Linked DNA regions of Sus scrofa. The protein of the gene in region 1 interacts with the protein of each later gene in a biochemical or structural test. Links are inferred from orthologs where the notes say so. Each region holds a gene or a part of one and is shown on either strand. Other genes may lie near its edges.

Evidence for each region. The genes of interacting proteins can lie anywhere in the genome.
Region 2: the proteins of NEDD4L (region 1) and ubiquitin-conjugating enzyme E2 E1 form a complex in vitro, tested with the Homo sapiens proteins (2 studies listed by BioGRID). The link is inferred for Sus scrofa from reciprocal best matches to the Homo sapiens genes NEDD4L and UBE2E1.

Annotation. Positions count from the first base shown.
Region 1 is NC_010443.5:162,377,309-162,380,821, forward strand, and holds part of NEDD4L (E3 ubiquitin-protein ligase NEDD4-like), read right to left. Parts: intron 2,301-3,513; coding exon 2,240-2,300; intron 621-2,239; coding exon 561-620; intron 1-560. UniProt on the Homo sapiens protein: E3 ubiquitin-protein ligase that mediates the polyubiquitination of lysine and cysteine residues on target proteins and is thereby implicated in the regulation of various signaling pathways including autophagy, innate immunity or DNA repair.
Region 2 is NC_010455.5:10,604,487-10,608,642, reverse strand, and holds the start of ubiquitin-conjugating enzyme E2 E1, read right to left. Parts: upstream 2,807-4,156; 5' UTR 2,619-2,806; intron 1,545-2,618; 5' UTR 1,512-1,544; coding exon 1,360-1,511; intron 1-1,359. UniProt on the Homo sapiens protein: Accepts ubiquitin from the E1 complex and catalyzes its covalent attachment to other proteins. Catalyzes the covalent attachment of ISG15 to other proteins. Mediates the selective degradation of short-lived and abnormal proteins.

The DNA.
Region 1 (3,513 bases):
AGGCAGAGAGATCCCTCTGCTTTTGAAATTCCCAATTCTCATCCACACCAACACCAAGCAGCTGGCACAAGCTAAGCTGGTGCACAAGGACCACCACCTTGCTGCTTTCGACCTGCCTTCTTACTCTACACAGCCCACTTCGAGTTCATCGAGACCCCTCTCTACAGCCCCTCGTGGACGCCCGCACTCGCTCCTGGCCAAGTCCCCACTCGGATGCCATGGGTGGGTGTGTGGAAGTGCAGGGCCCTCAGCCGGCCGCGCCCTGGGAACAGGGTGCTGCCACCCCAGCTCTACTAACAACAGCAGTTTTCCCCTCATGGTGCACCAGCTCAGAGCCCCCTCCCCGCCTGCTATGTCCCTCTCCTGGGCCAGGAACCTACAGGTGACCACTTCTGCTATTCCCCACTCCCCGATCAGCAATCAGGCAAGCCCCTAAAAGACCTGAATTAGAAAGTCATGTAAGCTTACTCGCCGGGACATTATGAATCTAGAATATTAAAATATCATCTGTGAGGTAATGAGATACTTAAAAAATCTCCTTTACACAAATGTTTACAAACCTCCAGCTCATTTTCGTCAAAAATTTTAATCAAATCAATAGGAAGCAGTTCCGTGAATCCCTGAAAGGAAAAAAAAAATCATTCTTAACACCTTTTTCCTTGAAAGAGACATTTCACAGGATAAACTTTTTTCAGTTAGCTAGAAAAATACATTGTTCACTGATGATTTGCAGCTATCAGTAGTTGGTAATTTCAAATAAAAACAGCATAGTCACAATGTAAAATTTTGAAAAGCAGTAGACTCAAGCAGATTCAGGCACTTGAGTAATTTTTGAAACATTATGAAAATAGGGGTTGCTGCAGGCAGGTGGATTCCAAAAGCCACTTATGACACACCACTGTGACTCAGGGTGTCCTCAGAGGCACAGGCATGCAAGTGAGCCATTCGAGAATAAGGTCTGGGAGGCATACAGATGAAAGAGGAGAGGAAGCAGCGTGGTCAGGAGAGAGGAGACAGGGAGTACAGAAAACCTGCCCCAGGTCCCAGGTTAGTGATCACTGACCAATGCGGTGACCCAGCACGGACGCTCCACGTTGCCCAGCCTGGTGTGTGGCTGGTTTCTGAGTGTGTGATTACCTGGGTGGGCCAGGTGGGATGAAACCTGCTGTTCTTGAGTGCGTCTAACTCGCAGGTTACACCCTACGTCCTGGAATTTTTTTTGAGCGTTCTGCCTGGGTTGGCGCTTTGTTCACCATGTGCAGGGAGCTGAGCTGGGGTGGGCTTAAGAGAGCATCGGCCAACAAGAACTCTGCCTTGGTTCACTGGAAGCTTATAATGTAAACCTGGGGCTTTAATACCCGTCATCAGGATTTTAAAAGGAATTGCACTTTGGGTCAAAGGGAGCTATTTTTAAAAACCCCTACTTTCTGCAATGGGCTTCTCCTCAGGTCCTGGGAGCATCGCTGACATCAAGCACTTGAATCTGAGAAGTACGTGCTTCTCCCTTGAATAGGGTGGAGAGTAACTCAGCCACAAGGGAAGGACAGGAGAGTTAAAAATGTTTGAGGAATTCCCACCATGGTGCAGTGGGTTAAGAACCCAACTGCAGCAGCTTGAGTTGCTGCGGAGGTGTGGGTTCAATCCCTGGCATGGCGCAGAGGGTTAAAGGATCTGAGTTGCCGCAGCTGTGGTGTAGCTTACGACTGTAGCTCAGATTCAATCCCTGGCCCGGGAACTTCCATAAGCCAGGGGTGTGGCCGCAAAAAAAAAAAAAAAAAAAAAAAAAGTCCAACGAATGAAGGGGAAGGCACTGTTCCTGGGGAGTGAAGGCCTGGCTGGACACTGCCCTGAGTCCTCACATTTCCTAGATCAAGGGAGCCCAAGACAGAGATGCTCCCAGCCTTCCCTGGGTGCCGCCTAAAACTGCAGGACGATGGTTCTAGCCTCCGTGGGGGAACCTGCTTTTCTGGAGCAAGTATAAAAATGTCTCTTTAAAAACAACACAAATTAAAAAGTGAGAGCGGTAAAGCCAGAAAACACTGAACAAAAGAAAACAAAAGGGTGGCGGGACGCTCCTGTGCTGGAGCCTGGAAATGGTGTGAATAGGGTAGTCCTGCCCTTTCTGCCCGGCCCCCGGCCCCCAGGGATCACCTTCGCCCCCACCTTCACCGCCCAATGAAAAGAGTTGCCCTCTCTCAACGAAAGGCACAGGCGGGAATTCCTAGCGAGCACAACTCACCTCCAGGAAGGCGTTCATTTGCTTCTGGACCCTGTTCACAAATCTCCACTGGATGACGAGGCTGCGGGAGGAAAAGGCAGCAGCATTTAACCATCTTCCTCATCACTGTGTGCCTTTCTTTCCTCACAACTGCAGGGACCTCTCATCAGGGGAAGGAGAAAAGCCCTAGAGAGGCCACGGAGAGAGGGGGCCTGCTGCTGGGGGACTGCTGCTGATATACTGATTTCTTTTTTGACGGGGTGGGGGTGGGTGGGAAGGGGGTGGATAACAAACATATATGACGAGCCTACAATCTCAGCGGGGATTTCACAAGAAAGACCGGTTCCCCCGGCCCTTAGTTTATCAAAGTTGCCTAATAAATGTAACTGCATGGAGAAAAGGGAAAATGCCGTTTGAATACATATGTCTGTGTACAAAACACACGCACACAAACTCACACATGTACACACCCAGACATGTACAAATGTACATATTTTAGGGGGAGTACCCAGTACAATGTATTTTATTGTATGATACTTCATTCTAGTATCATACAATAAAATACACTGATTTTCAATGACGACATAATTTATCAGCACTTTACCACTAATACTTTAATACCAACATTCGGAGGATTAATGGTAAACCCTTTTTGAGTAACAGAAATCCACTCGAAGCATCTTCCCTGCAACACTGTTCAGTGTACAGTGGAATTTACTGCCAGGCGAATCCACTTTGGATTCCATCTATGGTGCTTTGTCATGAAATAGCACAAGGACCTTGTCATAAAGGGCTCTGGCTTACGAGGTGGCGCCATGGCAACAGCCCTTGAGGACCAGCCTGCTGCCCACCCACTGTTCAGCATATCAAGTTTTATTGGCTGCGCTGCCATCAGCTCAATAGCCTGCTTGCACCAGGGGGTACAGGTGGCAGGGAGCAGCTGCAGGCTTCAATCATCCTTTCCGCAGTGAGGCAAGTGAGACTCTGCCCAGCCCCGCTCCCCACCCAATTTGAAATTTAAAAGAAATCACTGCCAAGAATGACACACAACACATATCACAAGGTCCAAATCCTCAGACTTTCGAACTGAGTCACTCTGGGGTGGAGTGATATTAAAAATCTATTCAAAGTCTGTACTTTCAAATGGAGACAATGGTGTCTGCTAGGACATCGTCTGCCTGCTAAGTTCAGAACAAGCGCCAATTAATATGAACAGGTAAGAACTGCAGGATCTTCCTTCTAGTTTTATATTAAGCACAGTAAGCTTTCAACTCCCAAGTGGAGAAGCAGCTCAT
Region 2 (4,156 bases), on another chromosome or scaffold:
AATAAGCGCAAGTCATCCCTTCATCCTCCTAGGGTGAGGTCACCAAAACACCGTACCAACCTACCAAATTTCAAGTCAGGGAGAGTAACAGGACAAACTTTCAAACTCTATTTGGCACACTACTCAGTGAAGAGATTTAAAGCATCAAGTTCCCTTTTACTTTACATTGTTTTAATAAAGGTATCTCGGCGTTCCCCTCAGGGGCTCAGCGGAATCATATCTGACTAGCATCCATGAGGACACAGGTCTAATCCCTGGCCTCCTTCAGTTCATTAAGGACCCGCTCCGTTCCCTCCTTCCTGTGGCTATGGTGAATGGACCCCTAGCCTAGGAACCTCCATATGCCAAGGGTGGGGCCCTAAAAAAAAAAAAAGAAAGAACAGTAAAAAGAAAAAAAGAAAGGTATCTCCAGCTAACCCACCATTTGGATTCCTTACTGTCTTTCTGGTTTGCCACCTTAAAGTTTAATGACTCTACAACCGACAGCAGGATTTATAAACTATAGGGGTTCCCAGGAATCTACTATAGATACTTTAAGGGTCATGGGAATCAGAGGACACTACTGAAGGATAATGGAGGTTAAAAAGTAGCTTCTTCCAGAGACATAAGAGGAAGAGAGCAAAGAAAAAGAACCACTGCTTGAATTCAACTTAAAAATCAACAATGAAATACCATGAAAAAAATTTGAGTTTCCCTGAAATTTGGTAAATTGAGGTTCTCAAAGAGAACAACAAGAATCCCCAAAATAGCCTAGAATAGCCATTTTACATCACCTATTGATTCATTCACTTGCCTCAACTCTCTAAATCTAAAAAATCTCTTTAAATTCCATCCGAAAACATCTATCTCTACCCATTAGAGTTTTTACTCTGCCAAAATGAGTTATTTATTCCTCATGCAATCTGTGGAGAAAGCTCTATTCAAAACAGTTCATAAGTGCAACAGGTGAGAAGTAAGACGGTAATAGAATTCATTGTGATAGAACTGTCTGGGTAGGTATTAGTAAGAAGTGGGATGACAGCCTTGAGAAGGGTCACAGATTAGTGATTAACAGGACAAGTAATGTGAAATCAGATTCGGTGGTCACTAATAATAGTAATGAAAATTCTTACAAACTTCAGCAAGATATGGGAGAGGCAAGCCACAACAGCTGCATGTGGACAGTGATTAAAAGAAAAAACAGAAGAAGGCACCGAGAAAAACAATTAGGGCCTCCAAGGCCCCTTTTCTCCTCTTTAAGAACATATAAACCATGAGGAGCGGTTAAGCTACCCTCATGGAGGCAGACCAAATGCAGCAAGAGGCAGTTTGGGAAATAGGAAGCCTGCTGGGGGTGGGGGTGGGGAGGGGGTACCGTACCTCTTGGCGCTGGTGGAGAGGAGTTTGGAGTTTTTGCTCATGCTGACTTTACTCTCCTTCTTCTTGGGGGTGTTTGTTTCTTTCTCGGTTTGCTGGTTGGAGGACGAAGATGAGGAGGAGCTGGTGCTGGCCCTCGAATCGTCATCCGACATAGCGAACCCCCCACCCCACCCCGCAAACAGCCCCTGCAGGGGGAGGGAAACAAAACAGAAACACAAACCATGCAGCCAGTGTAAATAAGGAACTCGGGCGCTGTCAGGAGGGCTTCGGCCGGGGGTGCACCCAGCCGCCCACCGCCCTCCACTCGCTTTTCAAAGTCTTCGGGCCCATCATGGCTTTTGCAAATTGGACGCGGCTTGTTTGTTTATTCGGGGCCCCATGTGGGGGACGTGGTGGGAAAACGGTTGGGAGGGCAGAGAGCAGCCCCTCCCTCGCCCCCCGGGGCTCCCCTCCGGGCGGGGAGAGGAGCAGCCGGCGGGCGGGGGTGCGGGGCGCCCGGCCGGGGCGGGCAGGGAAGGTCCCGGCGGCCAGCCGGCCTCGGGCTGTTTTCGGCGGCTTTCCGGGGGTCGTAGGGGAGCTGGGGGCCAGCCGCCGAGTTTGGCGAGGTCAGGAGGAGAGGAGGGCGGAGAGGAGTAAGAGAGGAAGCCGAAACGGGGGGACGGAGGCGGGCAGCGGGGGCCCGCGTGGGGGAAGGGAGAGGCCGGAGGGGGGTAGGAGCGACGAGGCCCGAGGCCCCCGCCGCGCCCCGACGCCCCTTGCCAGCCAGCCCCCGGACCGTGCGGGTCGGGTCTGCGCGGCCCGGGCGGGGGTCCCAGGCACACGCCCGATCGGCACCCCGGGTGGGGGCGGGGGTGAGGGGGGGACTCGGCCTCCTCTGCTGAGGAATAACAATGAGCCCGTGCGCCCCGGAGGGGTTAATCCCCACGGGCCCCCGCCCCAGGGGAAAACGGGGCTCCCCGCCTCCCCTCCCCCGTTCCCGGCCCCTCGGCGGCCAGCGGGGGGCTCCCGGGGCAGCGCTGACAGTTCGAGCCCTGTGCCCCCCGCCCCCGACGCGGGCGGCCCCGCACCCCACGCGGCCCGGGGCCCTGCCCATCCCCCGCGGGCGGGCCCGGACCCCCGGAGCTCCCTAGCCCCTCTCCGCGCCCCCGGCCCCGTGCCCGGCGGCCCGGGCGGCGCGGGTCGGGGGCGGCGGCGAGGGGTGTCCCCGAAGCCCGGCGGCGCGGCCGGGGGGCGGCAGGCGGCGGGGGGGATCCCCGTACCTCTCTTTGTGTCTGGCTGCTCCGTGCCGCCGCGGCGGCTGCTGCTGCGGCTGCGGCTGGGCCTGGCCACTCGTGTCTCTCTCGCTGGGAGAGAAGCGGAAGTGCAGCAACAGCAACTATTAAACAGGCAATGGCTTCCCCCAGCCACACACGCTCGCACACACACTCCTCCTCCCCCTCCCCCACCCCGTCCGGCCGGTCCCACCCACCCGCGCTCCCCTCCCCGGGCACACCTCCGGGGGGCGCCAGGAGCACCCGGGGACCCCGGGAAGCCCGGCCCCTCCCCGCCCCACCCCCACCCCGGCGCCTCGTCGGGACGCGGGGCCAGGGGGCAAGGGCTGTGAATTTTCTCCGGAGGAGTCTGGGGGACCCCTGGATCCTGGGCTGAAGAGGGGAAGCCGTCCCGAGACTGGGGGCGCTGGGAACTGTCGGGAATAGGGCGACCGCGAGGGGAAGTTCTTACCAAAAGGGCTTTGGGAAAGCGGGGGCAGTTTGGTAAAAAAGATGGTAATCTGGTGCCAGGACTTTGGACTAGTGAATACCGAGGGAACTCCTCCTAAAAAGTGATCAGTTTAAGGGAGAAAGAAAGAAATCCCACAACAGGGTTTCCTTTGGGCTGACCCTGGCTTCCCCCTCTGGCAATTTACCTGCTAGGAGCAGAGGTCGGTTTAGGCACGCCTGTGAGAAAATCCCAAGATTGGAGTTTTCTGCTCAGGCACGTGCAATTTTACAATTTTCGATTCTTCCAGTCACTTTTTATAGAAAGAAGTGTTTTATAAAAGTGATACAGTGGATTTCGTGACAGGTAAAACCAACCAACGTCTAAGAGGCTTTCTAATGTGAGAAATCAATGGGAATAAACCCTCTACTACTGAATTAGACTGGATTTAGAATTTTTGCTGTCGGAAATTATATTAAAAGTTTTGAGGACGGCTGCAGCTTCTTCAGCGACAATATAAATGCTATTCAAATCATAAGATTTTAATAATAATCCCTCTAATTCTTCGGAACTCTTCTTTATTTATCGTGTTTACCAAGATTAATTTTTTTTAGTTAAGCCATCAAATTACAATTCAGTTTCTCACTTATTTGTCATTTCAGTTGCAGGAAACTGAAGAGATATGTGTAGTGTAACATATACTAGGTGTGGTACACTAAGCAACTGCCCAGATTTCCCTGGGCCACTCTAAATTATCCCAAACTGCCATCCTTTTCCATAGCAACAGTGTGGCTTCATTTACCACCGGACAACAGAAGACATAAAGCCAGTGGCATATCCAACTAACCAGGAAAACAAGCATTCTTACCACCCACCTAAACCTCTTCTAGTCCTCAACATGAAACTCCAACTTTTTTAAGAGTCATAAAGTAATCGTGCAGACTTCTTGCTCAGTCCTTTCCGGGAAACCTGTATCTGTCTACTTGCAGAAATTGTCATAGACCTGAGGGGTCCAAAAACTGGGAAAAAACCACTTCAGTCATCATTTCAGCCTCCAGCCTCCTACCTCCAGACAGAGCTATCCCTCAATCACTCAAAT